Saccharomyces cerevisiae S288C: one gene and its partners. The gene in region 4 interacts genetically with the main gene of each other region. Each region holds a gene or a part of one and is shown on either strand. Other genes may lie near its edges.

What was found.
Region 1: mutations in CHS7 (region 4) and MNN10 together harm fitness more than expected from each alone (negative genetic interaction), as found in Saccharomyces cerevisiae (4 studies listed by BioGRID, with this or other methods).
Region 2: mutations in CHS7 (region 4) and CYK3 together harm fitness more than expected from each alone (negative genetic interaction), as found in Saccharomyces cerevisiae (5 studies listed by BioGRID, with this or other methods).
Region 3: mutations in CHS7 (region 4) and EDE1 impair growth when combined (synthetic growth defect), as found in Saccharomyces cerevisiae (4 studies listed by BioGRID, with this or other methods).

The regions. Positions count from the first base shown.
Region 1 is NC_001136.10:950,176-954,481, reverse strand, and holds MNN10 (alpha-1,6-mannosyltransferase), read right to left. Parts: upstream 1,683-4,306; coding exon 501-1,682; downstream 1-500. Other genes in the region: TRAPP subunit TRS23, read right to left, coding at 1-194; PEX5 (Pex5p), read right to left, coding at 2,081-3,919; mRNA splicing protein PRP28, read left to right, coding at 4,198-4,306. UniProt on the Saccharomyces cerevisiae protein: Required for polarized growth and efficient budding. The M-Pol II complex possesses alpha-1,6-mannosyltransferase activity and is probably involved in the elongation of the mannan backbone of N-linked glycans on cell wall and periplasmic proteins.
Region 2 is NC_001136.10:246,215-252,308, reverse strand, and holds CYK3 (Cyk3p), read right to left. Parts: upstream 3,729-6,094; coding exon 1,071-3,728; downstream 1-1,070. Other genes in the region: NUP84 (Nup84p), read right to left, coding at 1-743; HEM25 (Hem25p), read left to right, coding at 4,697-5,620; YFH1 (ferroxidase), read right to left, coding at 5,862-6,094. UniProt on the Saccharomyces cerevisiae protein: Involved in cytokinesis by recruiting INN1 to the bud neck. Cooperates with INN1 to stimulate the synthesis of the primary septum (PS) by CHS2.
Region 3 is NC_001134.8:127,315-133,616, forward strand, and holds EDE1 (Ede1p), read right to left. Parts: upstream 4,727-6,302; coding exon 581-4,726; downstream 1-580. Other genes in the region: RRT1 (Rrt1p), read left to right, coding at 1-296; PSY4 (Psy4p), read left to right, coding at 5,110-6,302. UniProt on the Saccharomyces cerevisiae protein: Functions at the internalization step of the clathrin-mediated endocytosis (CME) as an early-acting scaffold protein. Requires clathrin adapter proteins, ENT1/2 and YAP1801/2, for normal spatiotemporal dynamics and viability.
Region 4 is NC_001140.6:381,122-385,439, reverse strand, and holds CHS7 (Chs7p), read right to left. Parts: upstream 1,903-4,318; coding exon 952-1,902; downstream 1-951. Other genes in the region: 60S ribosomal protein eL42 RPL42B, read left to right, coding at 2,689-2,692, 3,134-3,450; YHR140W (uncharacterized protein), read right to left, coding at 4,149-4,318. UniProt on the Saccharomyces cerevisiae protein: Chaperone required for the export of the chitin synthase CHS3 from the endoplasmic reticulum.

The DNA of each region.
Region 1 (4,306 bases), on a different chromosome or scaffold from region 4:
TTTTCGATGTTCGTTTGTTGAGTTAGCTGTAATGCCTTCGGAGTCAGCTGGCTCGCGATGGCGAATACACCGTGCAGTGTACTAGCAAGAATTAAGTATTCATTGCTGTTCAATTTCTGTTCGTCGTTGGTAAAATTCCGCTGATAGATTAGTCCGCCTGATTTGTTTATTACAAGTATTGTTTCGATGGCCATTTCAATTTTTCCCGTTTAAATCCAACACTAAAATTGCACTTTTGAACTTATGCAAAGGCAGATTCCTTTTTTTAGTTTCACTCTTTTTCTTCTCTTCGCACCGCCCAACTCCTGCCGAGGAGGCATAAACTCCAACATATGATGGAAAAATAAAAGAATGTGTAGCATATTATTGAAAGAATCTTCTATAGGCCTAAATGTACATAAATTATAAAACAACATTTTAAAGCAGAACCAGTAGTGGAAATTAAAAAGAAAAATAAAAGCTTGTAAATGCTTCTCTTTACAATATTGATAACTTCCATTTTATGGGAAGAAAAATCTCGTGTACCATTTCCTATTCAGTTTTTCCATTAAAGTGGTGTAGTACTGCATCTCGCCCCAGCAATCTCTGCCAAAATTGCATCCGGCCATATTCACAACAAAATCATGGTCTTTCTCACTGTAAAAGTATCTTGAGTCACCACTGTATTCAGAGCATGCTCCCGGTGGGAATGCATTGATCGTTCTTAAGGGCAAAAATCCTATTCTCGAACGAATCCACGGTTCGTTTTCATATAATGCCTCTAACGCATCTTGTTCTCTATGTTCCCAAACCATATGTTTTTGTTCATACAGAACGGGGTCCCACCACATATCTAGAAGCAGCTTAGACCATTCGCTATTTTTTATCAGAAATGAGCCCAAATTGAAGCCTCCACAATCTTGTGTTATTAGAAACTCCATTTCCTCTGAATAATCGACATAGGGTATGTCGTCTCTTAGGTTTAGGGGATTAAAACTTTTCAATTCTCTGTCAGCCAGAGTTTCCAATCTGTCGAAAATATGTTCTTCTAATGATTTAGAAGGCTCCATTATCATAGTATCCAGGTCCAACCACCAGAACCATTCTGCATTAGGAAACTCCCTGAACGTCTGTCTCAATATATCTACTTTTTGCCAACCCTCTCTGTATTCGTGAGAGTATCTTTTGGACGTTGTCAAATCCTTGATAGTCAACGCATATCCATGTCTCTTCGCATAGGCCTTCTTATTTTCTATTGATATGCCTTCGATAGCCCATTCTTGCTCATTTTTCCACCTCAATACACCACCACCTTCGTTTGCCGCTAATATAATGACAATCCTAGGATCTTGATTCCAAAACGACCATCTTGATCTCTTAGAATATGGTGGTACATATCTTTTGGAGTTGATGCTAGAACCAGTATTACTCAACTTATTATCGTTACTATTTTGGCCTTGAAAACTTGTGGTAGATGGATTTCTGCTTATGGTGGAATCGCTTATCCATATGAATAAAAACAAAGCTAAAGATATTAATAGTATTAGCTTTCTCCATCTCGCTAGCGAACTGCATAAAGTTTTCCTCCAGTATATCATTTTATATTTCAGGCCTAGTTTTGAGCCTCTGCTCTTCTTTTCATCTTCATCGTACTCTAGATGGTTGGATATAGGAAGTTGGGAATTATAAGGTACACTAGACATATTGTATAGTTGTACATGCACAATTATTCCTTATAAAAATAAATAGAGAGCTTTTCTCTCCCTGATAAACCTCCTTTGGCCTTCAATCCAAAAATTCAGGTGCGGAATCAAAGATAACTTTTAAACTTTATATTTAAACAATTTTTTCTGTTTTGTTTGTTATGTAACATCCACTTGAGAAGAGCGAAAAAACAAGAAAATAATCAAAGAGAAATGTCATTATGGACGACTGTAAATAGAGCAGCAATTATGACCTTTGAATGCATGTTTTCCAAGGTTGAAATCTTGCTGATAGTATTTATAAGATTTTTTATTGCCTTATATATAGGATAGCTTGTACTGCTAATGCTAATGAATTTGGGCAGTGATGCGAGAACATAAAATTGCGGAGAACCATATCAAAACGAAAATTCTCCTTTAAATCTTTTCAGGTCCATGCCTGGCTTCACTTCTTGAAGTAAATCATCTCTATTCATCGCTATAAAAACTCTCTTCAAAGTCTCTATAACAGTATCATTGTACGTATTCAAGAGAGATCCAACGTCTCCTTTTTTATTATTAGTGTTCACTTCATGCATACTTAGAACACTTAATAAGTAGCCTGCTGCTTCTTTGAAACAGCCTATATTCATGGATGATACCGCCAGATTATAGCGAGCTCTAACAAAAGAAGGTTTTAGTTGTAGTGCCCTATGATAGGCTTGGATTGCTTCCTCTGATCTATTGGAATTGGCCAATGAAGCCCCTAATCTATTCCACATGAGTTCGTCATTAGGATTCACCCTCAACGCACTTTCAAAGCAATCTATGGTTTTGTCAAAATCATCTTTCGTGTAAAATAAGAGACCCAAGCATAGTTGTATTTCAGGATCTATTGTGCTTAAATTGTTTGCTAGTTGCAAAAATTGCTTTGTGATATGAGCGTTCATATCAATATGGGTAAACCCTTTCTCTTTTTGAAATTTGTCATCTTGTTGCTTGATCCTTGACCAAATTTCCGGGTACTTAGTTTCTGCCCATTTATCCAGCATTGTGAAGGCGCTCATATCATAACCTTCGTTTATATAACTTATCGCTAAAGTTTTCATTGCCTCCAGATTCTTTGGGTCTAACTTTAAACATTCTTCGAGGGCGCTTATGCCGTTCAACTCTTTTTCATTCTGGGTTTGTACTAGACCCAATCTTAGCCATGCATCCACATGGTCCGGTTTTTCTTTAACAGCAGCTTCAAATGCTAGCGCTGCCTCGCTCAATTTGGCTCCGTTTTCCATCAGTAGGCAGCCAATTTTATAAGCATTAGGATTATTAAAATATTCGTTGTTAGATTGAAAAGCATACTCGATGTTCCCATTTACTCTACCGCCGAGATATTTCAAGTAGTCTTCTCCTAGATTGAGGTCATCATTAACTAATTCGGATGGCAAGACTTCTTCAGCGTCCTTGTGTATGCTATCCCACACTTCTTGGAAATCAGATTGATACTGATCTCCATATACTCCTTCTTCCTTCTCAACAGTTTCTGGTTTGTTTTGTTCTACTTCACTCACATTTTCCTCCTTCTCTATTTCATCATTTATGTCCAAGTTTTCTGAGACTTCTTTTTCCAGCTTTTCAAACTGATCTGTCCAGGGTTGTTGTTCTTGCTCATTGACTCCTTCTTTAGAACGACCAGACTGTTGTTGATTCATGAAAGCAGGCGATTGGAGCCTTGATCCACTAAGACTGTTCATAGAAGCATAAGCATAGTTATTCATCATGGTATTAGGGTACTGAAACCGGCTTGATGCGGTTGTTGAGCCACGCTGCCATGCCTTTTCTGAATTTCCTGTATCCGCGTTTCTATTTTGAATACTATTACTACCTTGAAATTCCTGTGACCAATGAGATATATCGTTCACTCCCTTAATTTGGGTTGGGTTTGCTGAAGTCTGTAGAGAATGTACGTTTGAAAAAGGTGGAAGCCTGCCTGAGGATGGCCCTATTTCCATTCTTCTTTTATCATCGATCAGTGGTTCTCCGTTTATGAACCTTTGCATATTCGCCATGTTTTCTTGTGAAATAGCATTAACATTGGATATAAAAGCCTCACTAATACCTGGCTTGTTGGTACCCTGTAGAGGTGACTCATTAAGACGCCCATTATTCTTCTGATTAAACTGAAGCGATTTGTTCTGCTGAGTATGTTTGTGCAACTGCGCAAGCGGATTATTTCCCACTGAGCAACTTCCTACGTCCATGTGTTATGATATATTGTTTATTGATGTATATATATCCAAAAATAGGAACTAAAACTGTTTGGTGAATCAATATTAATCAGAAACCTTTCTTATGCTTAATTTTGTTCATATATATTCTCCGCCGGAAGAGGGTACCGACTTGTCGGAGGAATTCGGAGTTAATCGCGATGATCCGTTTTTACATATTCGAAGCTTACAATCGAGAGAATTACCAACGACAATAGAATTTTTGACAACGAAAAGGTCAATAGGAGCCGAAGAATTAACATACAGGACGGATGGCAAGACCAATCGATGTTAGTCAGCTGATTGCTGGTATAAACAAGAAAAAAGGACTAGATGAAAATACATCAGGTAAAATCAGCAAGCCTAGGTTTTTGAATAAAC
Region 2 (6,094 bases), on a different chromosome or scaffold from region 4:
TAAACTGTTCTTCTCCACAAAGAGTGCTTCTTGATACCTTGCTGGGTATTGAATTCGTTTGCAATTTGCGTATCAATGACAGGGTTTAAGTACTCTTGTATCCCACACAGGATCATACAAATTGAAATATTGTCGGAAAGTTTAGCTTCTTCTAATGCTTCATCAATCGCACCGGCCAAAATTAGTTCGTAAATGTATTTGAAGAAAATATGATCTTCTTCTTTATCTTTAACATCGAGGACATTAGTGTTTTCTCGTAAAGGAAAATCCAAGTCACAGCTTTTCAATCCTCCAGAAGTAATACTATTTAACCATTTTGAAGTTGGTACATTTTTGGGTCTTTCCATCACATATGTATTTTCTTTGAGCCAAACCATCACTATCCATATTTGATAAAGTTGTTTGTTGTCTTGCATTAATTTCTTTTCAAATAAACCCCTCGAGTTATAAGGATGAAGTTCCATTTCATCTAGATCAAGATCAGCGTTCCTGAAAACCAGTAACAGTTCTACTAAATGCCAAAATCTAGCTTCCAGTTCCCAATCCTTAGAAGATATGACGTTACTTTCATCTCCAGAATTAGCCAAATCTAACGCAAGCTGCCCCGCGGCTGAGCGAAACTCTCTTATGATGTTAAACGGGTCAATGGGGTTTTGCTCATTATTTTGTTCAATTTTGAATTCCTTTAAAGTGTCTGAGAACTTTGTGAAGCGTTCTGTTTGATAAGTAGGGGATAATTCCATTTGAAATGGCTATGTATTTTACTTCGAAGTAGCACTCAATTGGTTTTCAGGTTGAATTAGCTGATATACCTCGTTTTCGGACTTGCCTAAACAATTCAAATGTCGTATGTATTTGAGCATTTGGTCTAATTTTTCATATTTTCTTCACCGAAAACATCACTAAATACGAAAAAGTTGGACCAGCATAGCTTTTATGAATGCAATGGATAAATCATTAAATAATAAGTACTATATAGCCATATATGAGTTATGAAATTCACCTTCCTGAGTAGAATGTATGTTGAATGATACAGATTATAGCGCTGTAAAAAAATTTGTGAAAAACGTTTATACGCACAACCATTCAGCAAAAACGGACCACCCAATACCAGAGTCAGCGATCACTAAAGCGCTCCAGACGCCGGGCTCTTTGATTTTAATGCTTCCTTTCCAGGTACCATAAGGAAAGTGGGGATCGCTCTTGACTAGCTCATGAACTCTTCCTGAGGGTGATTTTATTGCCATTGGTTGTTTCCTATTTTGGTTCGGCCCTTCATCACTGCTGTATACAATACCATCGGAGGGACTTTGAATAACTTCGAATGAGTACTCATTACCAACAAATAGATATCTACTCTGTGGCTCGACAATGTATAGCTCAATCTTCTGAATGCTTTCTGAGGGTATCTTGATCACAAATTCGTATTTCATGTTACTTCCCTTATGTGTTAATGGGACCATCATGGACAGTGGATGGATATTGGCAATACTCGTTTGCGTACCTCTTACACCTGAATGTATGTACAGTGAACCTTTGTTCACATTGGGTGGTAGGACTGCTTTGATTAGAGCAATTCTTCTACCAGACTCGGCTTTCTGCTTTTTGATTTGGGTCAGTGCGAGTTCCATATTCCTGTACGCAGATGAAGCTTCTTCATTATCCGTTGGAATAACCACGGATGCAAAGACTTCAACGTCATTGGGAATTTCTAAGGAGCATTCGTAGATCTCAGAATCTTCCAAAAATGATAGTGCAGTACTAAATTTGTATAACTTTAACTCATTTTTGAAAAAAGATGGAAAAACTAATGGCAGATACAATGCAGATAATTGATCGATACTAGGAACAATATGCTGCTCAAATTCCCTAGGCGGTATATGTGTGTATATCATTTCTAATGGTGCCATCAAAAAGTAGCTATTTTCTGCTTTCTTGATCTTTCTGTTATTTACAAATTCATGAATTGGGTTGGTTACATTTCCTAAAATAACGTCAATAAATCTCCATTCTTTGTTAACCAGTATTCTCAACCAGCAGTGGTTATACTTAAACTCCCAATTTATAGCACTCGGTGTTTTCAGGAAACCTATAACAATTTCACAAGTGATTCCCAATGAGTTTGCTAATTTCTTGAAAAGCCATGTCAATTCATATGGCGTACAATGCTTTCTGTATAGTATTTTCTCTAAATTTTGGGGTTCCGCAGAAAAATCTGACGTTCCATTATCATCAGTCAGAGCAAACATCTCTGTGCAAAAAATGTATATGCCTCTTAACTTTTCCAGAACAGTTGAGTATCTTGCTGAAAAAGTTGTTTGAGCCCAACTGTCTAATGTCATAGTTCCGTCTCTAATACACCGTTTCCAAGTCATCTTATCAATGTATTCTATGTTTAATTCGGCCAGTTCCACATCGACCAAACCGGGCTTTGTATTACCTTTGACTTCATTGGTATTTAGCCCGTTATAAATCGAATCTTGAGGATGTAAGATCAAGTCGCGATTTTCTTCGAGAGCTCTCATATACCTCGGATGTTTGTCATATTTGGTAAGAGTCCTTGCTCTGTTCAAGTGACATTTTACCGCAATCCAATCGCGAGCTTCATCGGGTGTTGCAGACAAGTTTAAATTCTGAATATCTGGTAGTTTAGGATATGCTTTTGGTGACTTTGGTGAGGATACTGAACTGGAGTAAATATTTGTATTCCTCTTTGGAATAATTATTTTCCTAAGGATATCACCCATTTTTCCATTTCTCGAACTAGCATTGGAATCACCAAACTCCTGTGAATCATTTATCTTTGTAGAGCAGCCATTTGCATTCTGTGATCTTTGCAATGAATCGGAAAACGATTGTGCATATTTATGTCTGGCGAAACTTCCCGCGCTCGTGGCACTAAAATCACTCATTAAGGCAAAACTGTTCTCACTACTACAAGCAGAATCATTTAAGTACTGAGAGTTTGAAAACAGGCCTGATGAAATAGAGTCCTCTTCTAAAGAATATCTCTTTTCTGGGATAAACCCATCATAGAATTTCTGGTTGTCTTTGTAATAGTTATATTCTCTTGAAGAACGTGCCATATGTAAATCGTTTGCAGAATATGATTTCTTTGGTGCCCTTTTATCTGTCTTTCTCATATTGTCCAAATCTGGTAGTGGCGGTAGAGGTGGTAACGGATTGTTCATGGACTCCTCGAAATTTCGTACTTGAGGCTTACTATGGCTAGCCAAAGGTAAATTTGGAGCTGAGTTATTATGATGTCGAGAGGATTGGGTATTATAGATATTTTTTTCATTTACCATTTCTTTTGATTTTGCCTTTCTAGCCTTTGTCAAAGAATCTACCGGCTTCTTGGGTGAATTGGGCATTGATGAAGATAGCTTCTTTTTAGGCCTTGGCCTCTCGTCAGAATACCTTGATGGTACTGGTGGAATAACAACTTTATTTGATTTTTCAAAACTTTCTACTATTTTTGAAGGTTGCCTACCATTTTCAGTGCTCGAATTTAATCTCTCCTCTAATAGTATGACGAAGTTATGAGGAAAATACCCAGAACATTTTTTGTTTCTCAATAACTTGCCGTAGAACCAAGAACCGGCAATCCTTGTGACTTCCATAATATCTCCCTCCAGAAAGCCTAAGTCGCCTTTAGTTTGGCCCGACCAACCATACCTGGCCTTCACCTTAAATGGTGGCTTCAAAGATGTTAAGTTAGTGGCCATTATGCAAATTTAAATGTAATACGGTAAATTCAGGAATTAAATGTTATAATTATAACTTCGGGACTGACCTTTAATGTTTCGAACTAAAATTATATGCGGTAATTAATACGGATAAAAAGATATTATTAAAAAAAGTGGTAAAAGCAATGTATGCTTATAGCAAACAGTTAATGTGTTAAAATATTAAGGACGAAGTGAAATCAGAAGAAAGAAAAATTAGTTTAACAGCAGTAGATCAAACTGATATTATAGATATGTTATGCAAACAGAGTCCCGTTAATTTTGGCCTTTTCTCTTGTTTTAACTGTATAATATCCAATTGTAGAGAGTAAATGAAACTAAATTCTCCTTTTTCAATACTTATTTTAAATAGTTGGTCCAAGCATGCAAGATATCAAGCTTGATCTCACCATCCTTTTCAGATCAGCTCAATGGCCACCAAACCAGCCATTCGAGAATTTTTCACTTCTATCGCGCCCTGACAGGCACCACCATTAATACATATTTAGAAAAAGAAAACCCTGCAATATTCAACTAGTTACGAAATTCACCAGTCTCAAGAACAAGAGGGTACGCTGAATGGATACAAACACTAAAGGATGGTGTTTCATCAGCGAGACAATGATTTTGTAATTTCTTGCTTTTTGGGTTTTGCTGAATCTCCAACGCTTGTGGTGACTGTTTCCTTTTGAATATCTATCAGTATCTTAAATGTTAAATATGTGTCTGCGTTATTGACCTATTTCTCTTGCTATATTTAGAAGTTGTGTTTGTTTCAAATGACTTAGATTTGAGTGAACGCAAAATTGAGCTTGAAAATCTCCAAGTCAACGGTGTAGTAGTATATTGCTTCCACATTAAATTCTCACGAGGGGGTGATTGAAGTAAAAGGATAAGCTTATACCAAAAGAAAAGCAAATAGCACAGCGGGAACAACTAGAAGGTACACAATTTGTGAAGCAGCATACATGACTGAGCAAGCAACTAAGCCAAGAAATTCATCGCATTTGATCGGGGGCTTTTTCGGTGGGCTAACATCTGCTGTTGCGTTGCAACCTTTAGACCTTTTGAAGACGAGAATCCAGCAAGACAAGAAAGCTACATTATGGAAAAATTTGAAAGAGATAGACAGCCCTCTACAGCTATGGAGAGGTACATTACCTTCAGCATTACGAACATCAATAGGCAGCGCCTTATATTTATCATGTTTGAACCTTATGCGCTCATCTTTGGCAAAGAGGAGGAATGCTGTGCCTTCATTAACAAACGATTCAAACATTGTATATAACAAGAGCAGTAGCTTACCACGATTAACGATGTATGAAAATTTACTAACAGGTGCATTTGCAAGAGGTTTGGTAGGTTATATAACCATGCCTATCACCGTCATTAAAGTCCGTTATGAGTCTACTCTGTACAATTACTCCAGTTTAAAGGAGGCAATTACCCATATATATACTAAGGAAGGACTTTTTGGATTTTTCAGAGGGTTTGGAGCTACTTGTTTAAGAGACGCTCCCTATGCAGGTTTGTATGTGCTGCTATATGAAAAATCGAAACAATTACTGCCCATGGTATTACCTTCTAGGTTTATACATTACAATCCTGAGGGAGGATTTACTACTTATACCTCTACAACAGTAAATACAACAAGCGCCGTACTATCCGCCAGTTTAGCCACCACAGTAACGGCACCGTTCGACACCATAAAAACGAGAATGCAATTGGAACCATCAAAATTTACCAACTCCTTCAATACATTTACATCTATAGTTAAAAATGAAAATGTGCTGAAGTTATTTAGCGGGTTAAGCATGAGGCTGGCAAGAAAGGCCTTCAGTGCAGGTATTGCGTGGGGTATATATGAGGAGTTGGTCAAAAGATTCATGTAAAAAATAGACACATATTTCATTGCAATCTCGCATTCTTCAAAAAAGGTATAAATACGTGTCTTTTTAGTTTCTTTATAGAGTGACGTTGAAGCTTAGTAGTACGTTCATACATACATACATACACACACGGTACAAAAGAAAAATCATATCAATAACAAGGAAGAGAGACTCTAACTATGAAATAGATTGGATGCGTTACAAGTGTTTAAATAAATATAAGAGAGTCGATGGATAAGTGCACTTATTGGCTTTTAGAAATGGCCTTCTCAACTTCTTCAGTAAGTATATCTGTTAGCTTTGTGCCATTTCTTAACGAAACCCACTCCCCATTGAGAAGGTCAAATCTGTTAGGCCCGGACAATGGTGATGCCAACCAAATTTGCTTATTTGGAGGCTGTTTGTTTATTACATACGTTCCAAAAGCTGGAATTTCCAATGTCATTACGCCATGGCTTAGCTCTACATCAGGTATAC
Region 3 (6,302 bases), on a different chromosome or scaffold from region 4:
ATCTGGTCTTTCTTCCTTCTATTTTGATTGGGTATATTTCTATTCGTGTTTCATTACTGGTCTGGGTTAATTGGGTTTTGGTTTGGTCCAGTTGTTTTCAAGTAGCCTTTATTTTTTCATTGTGGTATTTTATCTTATCGATTTATACTTTTTTTTATTCAAAGAAAATTAAACAGATAATCTCTTATGAGCCTAGCTACTTTGTTTTTTCTTACAGGGCCATTGACTTATGCCCTGAACGAGTCTTACTTTACTTTTTTTGTATTTTCAATAATGTCGTGTTTCCCATGTTGTAATACGCCCAAAGATTATGTGGTAGAGCTTTTTTTTTTTTTGGTTAGTGTATTTACCAAACTGGGATGATTTTCAAAACTTATGAAGCAGTTTCAATACATAACTGTCTAACGTAAAAATTTTATAAAATGGAAAAATAGATGATGATAACTATAACAATTTTAAAGTACAACATATTCTACTTTTAGAATAATTCACAATATACAAGGACGATCCTGGAAAAGGGTAAATATGATTCAGCTTCGAGGAAGAAGTACAAAAAGAAGACGAAATGGTCCATTACAGACTAAGCACTATCCAACAAAAAGTTAGTGGCGGCTTCTAGATCCCAGTTGCACTTTTCCAAGGCATTGTGCGCTTCTTCTTCAGTAAATCCCATGCCACTTAACTCCTCGACGGCTAGAGACTTTGGAGTAGTTGCAACCCCGCGGTTAACTATTGGACCTTTTGACAAGCTAGCATCAACGATAGGATCATTCTTCAATGGAATTGGTTGTTGTGGAATGCTTGGGGTAGCTACTTTGGTTGGTTCAGCTTTGGAGTTACCAAATCCAGCAAAAATCTCGTCCCACTCATCGTTGCTTACTTGAGCAGGGTCACTGGTTGACTGTTGTTGTACTTGTGGTTTTGGGATAGTTGGGTTAGAGGAACTAGTTAACGTCCCTGTAAAAGCGTTCATTTGTAGTTCGTCATCGAGATCCTTATGGTCTATGGTTTCAAATTGCTCCATCGACCCAGCATTCGCAACATTCTCAAATTCAGATTCCGAATCAGCACCATTATCTTCCTCCACAGCCGCTTGTTCTAACCCTGCGAATTCATCATCAAATTCGTCCTTAACAGGCAAAATGGAATTGGTGCTTGCCTTTTTTGAGTTACCTTCATTATGTGAAGGAGAAGTGCCTGGAGCGGGATATTTTATGACTTGTTCCGTGTGGATTTCCAAACTTGATGTGGGCTGGGCATTATAGGGAGTTTGAAGGGTCTTCACTGTTGCTGATGGAATTTCTCTGGTATCTTCAAACTCATCATCGTCTGAAGAGGATGAATCGCTTTCGTCAATATGCAATTCCTGAATTGGTGGAAACTCTTCATTTATTGTCTTTGCTTTTGGTTGAGCAGAGATTTTTGGAGATTCTTGGATAGAACTGACCGACTCACCGTCTTCATTTGAATTAGCCCTTTTTGTGGTACTTCCGTCTTCAATAACTTCTGTAGTTTCGTTGCTCAAAACATCAGTAGAAGCGGTAGCTGGGGTAGCTTCCCATTCACCAGGAATGTGAGATAAGTTTCCAGTATTATCTCTATTCGCAGTATTATTGATGGTGTCACGTTCTTCCAACGTTTCCGGTAGCTCAACATCATCTCTTACGGATTGAGGAGCATTGTTTGCAACAGACGATGTCAAGGATTGACTTCTTGGAATACCATATTCATTCAAATCACCATCAAACCTATCACTTAATGTTTCAGTTAAGTTTGGATTTGCTGTCTCATTTCCTGACTGGGTGCCGTTGTTTGTATTGGCATTTTCACTATCGCTTTGAGATCCCAAAGTTGGAACGTCTCTATCAAATACGTCACTTTCGGTTCTTTCTGTCTTTTCTTCATCGTCTTTAACCCGATTAACATTCAAGTTTGAATTCTCAACAGTAGTTTCGACAAATTTGGATACAGTGTCTTCGTGAACATTTCCTCTTGATGTGGCTTCTTTGGTTGTTGTATCTGTATTAGAGGCGCTTTTCGCAATAATGTCCTTAGCATCCTCAGGTAATTGTCCCATAGCTAAATTCATTTGTCTTTCGGATAACTCTCTCACATTGTTAGCGTATTCGATGTTTCTCTCCTTTAACTCTTGATCAGCTTTTTCAAAAGAAGCTTTTCTCTGTGATAGATCGTCGAACATTTCTTGCAATTTAGAAACGTGCTGATGGTAGAGATTTTCTTGTTCTTCAATTTGTCTGTTACGTTCTTCCAATTGTTTTTCACGGTCCGTTAAATCAGTATCCTTGTTGGACAGATCCTGGTATTTAGCTTGTAATTGTGCGTGTTGCTCCTCCACGGTCTTTTGGTAGTCATTTAACTCCTTTTGTTTAGTTAAGTAAACGCTTATCTTTTCGCCAAGACCATCGATTTCCTTCTGCAAGTTTGCTACTGTGACTTGATTCAACTCTAGCTGTTTTGAATTAACATCTACCATTGACCTTTCTTGCTTGACCTGTTGTTGTTTTTCATTTAATTGTGACTGTAAGGAGGCTGTCATCGAGTTCAAATTCGTAATTTGTTCTTTTAATTCTGCGTTCTTTGTTTGAGATTCTTGCAAATCAGTAGTTAGTTCATTGAGTTTGGACTCAGCGGCATGGTAGTTTGCTTCGGATACAGCCAACTGTTGCGCTAATGTTTCGTTTTCTTTGTTTACTTGAAGTACTTGTGCTTCCAGTTGTTCCGTTTGTTTAACATTTTGGTCATGGGTAGAACGTAAATTGTTCAATTTGATTTGAATGGAATTTTTCATCTCAGTAACACGTTTCAACTCCTGGGTCGCTCTTGACTTTTTGTCATTAGTTATACTTGCCTGCTTGGACAGGGAGTTTACTTGGTTAGATAAATTAGCCATTTCTGTGGTAGCATTAGATAACTGAGCAGAAGCTTCACCATCTGCAAATAAATCCTGGTTCTTGAATGCATTATTGGAAGATCTTGAAAAAGCGGATGCGCCTAAAGCAGCAGCACCCACTGCGGCGCCTACAGCAGCACCAGTGGCAGCGCTAGTGGCAGCGCCTGCTGGCATGCTAAACACAGAAAAGTTGGGAACTTGTGGCAGTGTTGTTGAAGCTGTACGTTTGACTGGACTTGAAGCATGTTTTGGAACTGGCGGAGGCTGAGCGCTAAAAGTATCACTGGATTCCCTTAGTTGCTCTTGTTCCTCTGGTTCTTCCTTGATTATACTTTGACCGAAGTTTGAGGTGGGAGTAAATTTCTTCAATCCAGAGGAGGAGTGAGTTAAAGGTGGAGGCTGCTGTGGCTGTTGTTGTTGTAATGTTGCTTGGCCATTGTTATTATCATATGAAAAACTATTATTTGTGTTGTTTTGAACCACAGTTTGTGCTTTAGTGGGAGAAGGAGAGCTGAATGAAGGGTTCAAAGCCAGTAAATCATTCAAAGAACCGTTATTTGAGTTTTGAGGAAGAACTTGTGGAACTGTTGGTTGAGTATTAACTGCTGGGGCAGAAACTTGGTGTGGCATATCCTGTAAAGAAGGCTTACTTGCTCTTGAGGGGATGGCAATTTGAGGTGCACTTTGTTGTTGAGGAAGTGGGTTTGGCGGATAAAGTCCTAAAGCGGGGGACTGTAATAATTCATTGGGGATAACATCCGGTAATTCGACACCAGCATTCTTTTTTTGAATTAAGAACATGGCAATAGCAAATTCCAATTTGGTGAATTCAGCATTGTTGTGGATGTCAGCTAAGTCCCAGATGGTGGCTAACGTCTCTTGGTTTAATCTAGAGGATAAGAAGAATGGAACCAACACAGCAGAGCTTAGCGAACCAGCATGTTGCTTATCTAATGAATCAAAAATTGCATCAAACTGTTGTTTTTTTTCAAAACTTAAAGACCAATCTGAAGCAGCATTACTGAATGCACCAGTAGATAGACGTGATATAGTAGAGTGTCTTGTTAGTGAAGATACGCCAGTGGAGTTAGCACTCAAAGGAGTAGTCCTGTTTGGTTGATTAACAACAACAGGTTCTAAACGAATAGAATCCCACAGCTGAGTAGGCAACACGGCCGGTGGTGTGTTCATACTAGGATGATGAGACATACATAGTTGGATCAAATACATGGCCATTATAAACTCAGATTTGTCTAAGACACCGGATGCGTCTCTATCACAAAGAGCCCAAATTTCACCTAAAGTTTGATTTGGTAATCTTGCCTTTAAAAATATATCCTTGGCTTTATCACCAGCAACAGTTTGAGCACCCTTTGCTGTCCTATCAAACAGTTGTGAAAATTTAGCAATATCATTTGAGGATAAGGCAGGAATATCAGTGTTGTTTGTATTGCCGGTTGCACTACCGCTTTGCATAGGGGCTGGGTTCTGATTTATAGAAAAAGAAGCCAGTTGAGTAGGTGTGCTCTCATATAGGGCAGCGGAAATTGGTTGGTTGGGAGCATTTTGCAATTGAGCGATCATTCTCAAAGCAGCCGAAAACTCGTTCAAGTTCAAAAACCCTTTATTGTCTATATCGACGGTAGCCCACACTTGCGATAGTAATTGCCCTGGAAGACCAGAAGACGCGAAGAGCGGTCTGACTGCCTCGCCAGTGACCACCCCGAGATCTTCCGTATCCAATTGGTGAAATTTCTGATTATAAAAGGCTTGTTCCTGAGAGGATAATGGAGTTCTAAAAGTAATAGATGCCATGGCCTATATCGTTCGAATCCTATTGAAAACACACAGATAAAAACAGGAAAAAAGATAGATCTAGAGCTTCACGAATCTATTTATTAGTTTCAACGCGCTATATTATTTCGCGAGAACCAGTAATTCTCTATTTAAAAGCACTCTATTGCCTATCACAAAGTGCTCTGTTGTGTGTTGTTTTCAATGTGCTTCTGAAAAGGGGTTTGTAATAGTTGAAGATTTTGATTATAGGAGAAATCTAATCCCCCTCCGAAGCGCCGACGGGTAATGATTGTGTAGTTTTTCATTTCGCGATCAAAAGCATGTATTTTGACACAGCTAACAATACCTATTATCATTTTTTGTTGGTGTTCTCATCGATTGTCAAAGCACAATAAAAAGCTATGAGCTCGACGATGTTGGATGATGTGGATAATAATATGATGGGTATCAAGTCTATCAGCCTTTATGAATTACTTAGCGATGTGGTGAAACAGGGCGACAAGACGCGATTGGTGACGGCGGGTCCCGAGCAAGTTTTGCCTGATTTAATCCGGCATATCACTGAAACAATACCGTTTGACCTATTTATAAACCTTAAGAATGAAATGAACGATGCGAGAAATCTCGTTACTAGATTAAATTGGCTGGGTAAGTTTCTGAATGATAATTTTTTACAAAATCATACATTTCCATTCACAATACTTCGGATATGCGAATTGTGTTATGATCCTTTCAAATATTACAAGATCAATGAATTGGAGAAGTTTGTAAATGCGCTAGAAAAATGTTGCATGGTAACTAGCAGTTGGCAGGTTTTTGATAAAACACACGGTGAGAAGCAAGAGGACGATAAGGAGAAAGATATTAACTTCATCAAGAATCAAGAAGATGTCTCACTAATGAAGATACCGTGGATGACCGAAAACAATACTAGGGAGTTGGCACCCTTTATTAGAGAAATCGACTCTATAATGAGTGTCAACCTAGGCTACGATGACGAGGATGAAGAGGAAGGATTTTTTGATGGTGATGAAGATAGGGAGATGGGGAATAAGAGTAAGCGTAATGTTTTGCTGAAAGATGAAAATTTCATGGTGGAAGAATACTATGAGGATGATTGCGGGATAAACGATGATAATAGCGATAATAAAGGACAAAATTGTCAGAGCGATGTTACGAAGAATAATAGCGATGATGAAGATGACGATGACAACGACGACGATTATCGTGAAGATGGTGCAGATGAAGATGATGAGGATGATGATCACATGGGCAGCACAGATGACGATGAAGATGATGACGAAGATAGGCAGGCGGGCGAAAGTACCAAGGTGCAAAATTTTGACAAGAAAAATGAAACTCCAAGGAAGAGGAAGCCCACAGATTTAGATAACTTTGAATATGACGAATCACCATCATTCACAAACATGGATCTCACGACGCCAAAGAAATATAAACATACCGCAACGGGCAGGTTCTCCATAATAGAGTCGCCATCGTCTTCGCTCCTCAATGCCATGGACGGCAGTAATGAGATCTCATCGAGCCAGGAGGAGGAGAAAGAGGATGCTCATGAAAACCATGAGGGTAGAAG
Region 4 (4,318 bases):
AGGAATGACTGTGGTTAGCTCTACTGAAGAGTTACAATAAAATGTAGTAAGGAATGACTAGAGTTAGCTTAAAACCCGAAAATATAATTCAAAAAATAATAACGCTTGAGGGAGTGGCTTTAGTTGGAATTGAAACAGTATATTCTTTGTTTCAGGCTCGCTGTCTACTTAATGGAAGTCGATATTGCTGGTTTACTTGAAGTTTTTCAATAGACATCGAATAAGCAGAAGAGGAAGAATGAATGAAACATTAGATAAGTTTCCTCTTATATACCGAGTATGAGTTAACGAGTTTCCTGTCATCTTTTGGGAGAACTTTTTACATTAACAGGCAACCAAGACATTGCTGGTTCTTTTATGTTTTGTTTTTCCAATTTAAACGAATGAATTACTGGTTCTTATTTTATTCAAACGATTTTCCAGATAATCTATCCCCTTTCTTCTAAGATATTCCTACAACTATCAAGCATTGTTCACAGTTCTCTTTTTTTTTTTCAGAATACATTATTTACTTTTCGCAAAGTATTTGTTTACATTCGGGCAGAACTGTAAACAGAAAAGAGACCAGCGGAAAGGCCTAAACCCGCAGCGTTGCGAAAATAAGATGATGCTTTTCGTAGAACCCTCTCATGGAAAAGTAGTCATGAACATATGAGCGACTTTAAAACATTGGAAACAGATTAAGAAGTTTTGTTTTCAATTGACTAAAGAAGGATAATTTGTCATCTTACTTAATAAACTACGGGAACGACCATCACGTTTCTTTTATGGATATGGTTGTTTCCGCTGATAAAAGAAGTCACTACGCTGATTGACTGTCAAAGTGTACACAAGCCGTTAAAACGTGGAAACGGCTACTTTCACTCTTTGGTTTGTCATAGTCCTGCTTATTACATTAAACTAATAGTATACACCTATTTTCTATATATGGTAATAGAAAAAAGAAGCATTTCACATAAATCCATTATCATACACCACGTCACCGTCCTTGCTAACACTTACACCAAATTCCAAGTCGTCGTCGGTAGTCATATCCCAAGTCTTGTAAACCATCATTAATGTGAACACATTACAGATGCTTCCAAAAAAGAGGCCATCTAAGTAGTGCTTGAACCCTTCACAAATTTGTGTAGAGAAGGCATAAACCAATACCTGGCCTGCTACAAAGAAAAATAGCCCCAAAAAGATAGCTCCTGTGACCCATAAGTTTCGAACTACCAATAGGGATACCAGTAATTGACAAATAACGAAAACGAATAAGAAAATGGCGTTTATTATGTAAACGACGACAATCATCCCTGAAGCGTTCATTGTTGCTACTTTATGGTCGGTGATCCATGCTTTGAAGGTTAAAATAGAGGCTAAAAAATTGGCTATGAATCCTAGCATGGACGTTCCACGGACCAACAGCATGGACTTTGTAGTCCCATCTTCCCATAAATTGAAACCTAAAAACCCGATTATCAATAAGGCCCAGCAACATGCACCCGCCAGTCCTATTTGTATAGCCACGAAGTATGGATATGACCCAGAGCCGGGGGGAGATACACCACAGTCTACCACCAAGGTAAATATTATCAATAGCAATGTTAGTTGGAAAAAGTAGAGATATTCAGACCTGCCAATAGCAGTATACTTCTGTCTTATGTTATAAAGTATGATTAAAATGACACCTAGAGCACCAATATTTATGAATGCGTTCCCGACATCAAAGATGACTGTATTGGCAAGATCAATCGACCGAGCATAACAGCGTGGCAGTACACCGACATTCAAATTTAAAGGATCAAAATCATGTATAATTGTTGAGTTCGAAAGTATTAGATGGGTTTTAGACTTTATTACCGAACATAATGGCAACGGGGTCTTTGAGCATATGGCAGCAAAATCACTAAATGCCATATTATATATATATCAGCTTTTGTATTAACAAAACCACAATTTTTGATAATAGTTTTGATGAAATAAACTTTCCACGTGGAGACAGCTTTGAAAAAACAGTTCAAAGTATGCCAGTGTAGCTTTGACTTTTTTTAATCTTTTTAGTTAAGTTATGCAATATGCTATTTTTATACCAAAATGGATCCTTTTTGATTTCGTGTCTTGTGAAACTTTTTCAATATTTAACCGTTTTAAGAAAGCGAAGCGGGCAACACCAGAAGAATGTCAATAACTTACTGTAACAACATAAAACATGGCATTTTAAATAGTACTGCCAAAATTTAATGCAATGGCAATTAGTTGGCTATGTTGCTACATATTATTTTCCATAGCATTCTCTGTCACAAACTTCAAAATAAAAGACAGTGACATCCGAACATCCGATACACCCATACATCATGAAAATAAATCCTGACATTGGAAGAAGTCTTGATACAAAAAAAGATCGCTGTCAAAAATGCGGCCAGACTGCCGCTGCATCGTACCAACAGTGCGTATGTTCAGACGGAGAGACGACCTCTAGAGAGACGTCCGTCGGTGCGGCAACGCTGACGGTTTAGTTGTTCGACGGGATGATGGGTTCCGCCAGGGGGAGGGAAGGCTTTCCACCAAGAGAGGTAAAATTATTCGTCGAAATGAACTCAGAGATACATCCATATTGTTGACAATGTATATCTTAATTGATGTGGTATTTTCACTGTTTTAACGTAAATTGAAGGAGATTAAGCAAAAAAACAATCAGTAATAATGGGTATGTGGACGATTAGGAATAGACAAACCATGTTATTTATCTCCATTAGGGCGTGAGAGTGTAATTAGTACACAGGTACTACTAGAATGCTAAAGAACTTTTTAAAATATCCTGAATCGTAGGGCAAATCCATGTCAAGCAAGAAACTAATAGTTATTAAACTTCATTTACTTTTGAGCTAGTTAAATATTTTCATCATTTCCTAAAGTACTGAACACCTGAATGATACTTTTATTGGCCCTTTTAATAAGAACTCTGGTTAGAAAATATATTGAGGATATCATTAGTAATACTCATTAGATATTTGTGAATTTAGCCGTTTCCCCATTACAGAAAAAAGATACAACTAATTACATGTGCAGTCAAATTACTTTTTTTTTAAGATCAATTACTAACAATCAACTATCATGCTAAATTTGCTGTGATATCATTTTGAACCAGTTAACGTCCCAAAGACCAGAAAGACCTACTGTAAGGGTAAGACCTGTCGTAAGCACACTCAACACAAGGTTACTCAATACAAAGCTGGTAAGGCTTCCTTGTTCGCTCAAGGTAAGAGACGTTATGACCGTAAACAATCTGGTTTCGGTGGTCAAACCAAGCCTGTTTTCCACAAGAAAGCTAAGACTACCAAGAAGGTTGTTTTGAGATTGGAATGTGTCAAATGTAAGACTAGAGCCCAATTAACCTTGAAGAGATGTAAGCACTTCGAATTGGGTGGTGAAAAGAAGCAAAAGGGTCAAGCTTTGCAATTCTGAGAGTTGTTATTGTTTATTGTTTTATTATATTTTTATAGTTATACTTTGACCATTAACTTTTTGTAAATTTTGCATACTTAACTCTTTAATATTGAAAACCTGCCTATTTGGCGTAATTTTTCATCCTGCCTTTGAACCTGTTGTAAACGTTCGCGTTGGCAACCATGATAAGTTAACAAGACACGTAGGCGTTCGCACTAAAACACAGCATTGCTACTAAAGTACGTTACTAAGAACCAGTAAAAATAAATATGTATAAATAAAATGTAGATACAGCTGATTCCCAATATCTCATTTCAGAAATGATCAACACCAGGCGCCCAGCAACGTTCAATCTATCTACGCTTCAGTACTACTAAAAGTGGGAAAAACGTGGGCTTTTAGTCATTCCCTGCAATTTTAAGAAAACTGCATATACTAGTAGTACATTCGCGATATAATTATGATGTTGGCCTTTTTAAAACAAAAACCAAAAGGAATTTGATTATAACAAAACTAAAGAGGTGTGGAAAATTAATACAAACCTTCGACTTTTTATAGTGCGGTTCCTACACTTTTTTTTTTTCCCGCTTACCCTGGTGATTGATTTTTTGGGTTCCGTTGTAGGGCTAGCACGAAAATAAGAATTAAGTAGCAAAATTTGAGATTTGCTCACTTTACATACAAAGAGCTTAAATAGTAGTATACTAGTAGTAATGCTAATTCTTATCACCTTTCTTTGCCGACTTCTTGATGTATTTTGGCGGAAACTTTTGATAAAATACATAATAAGCCCACGTAATAGTAGCAACAACAACAAATATAATCGACTTGTACGGCTCGTTCACGTCTAGAAACGGGTATGGATAGGCTTGGCCTTGCCCCGCAT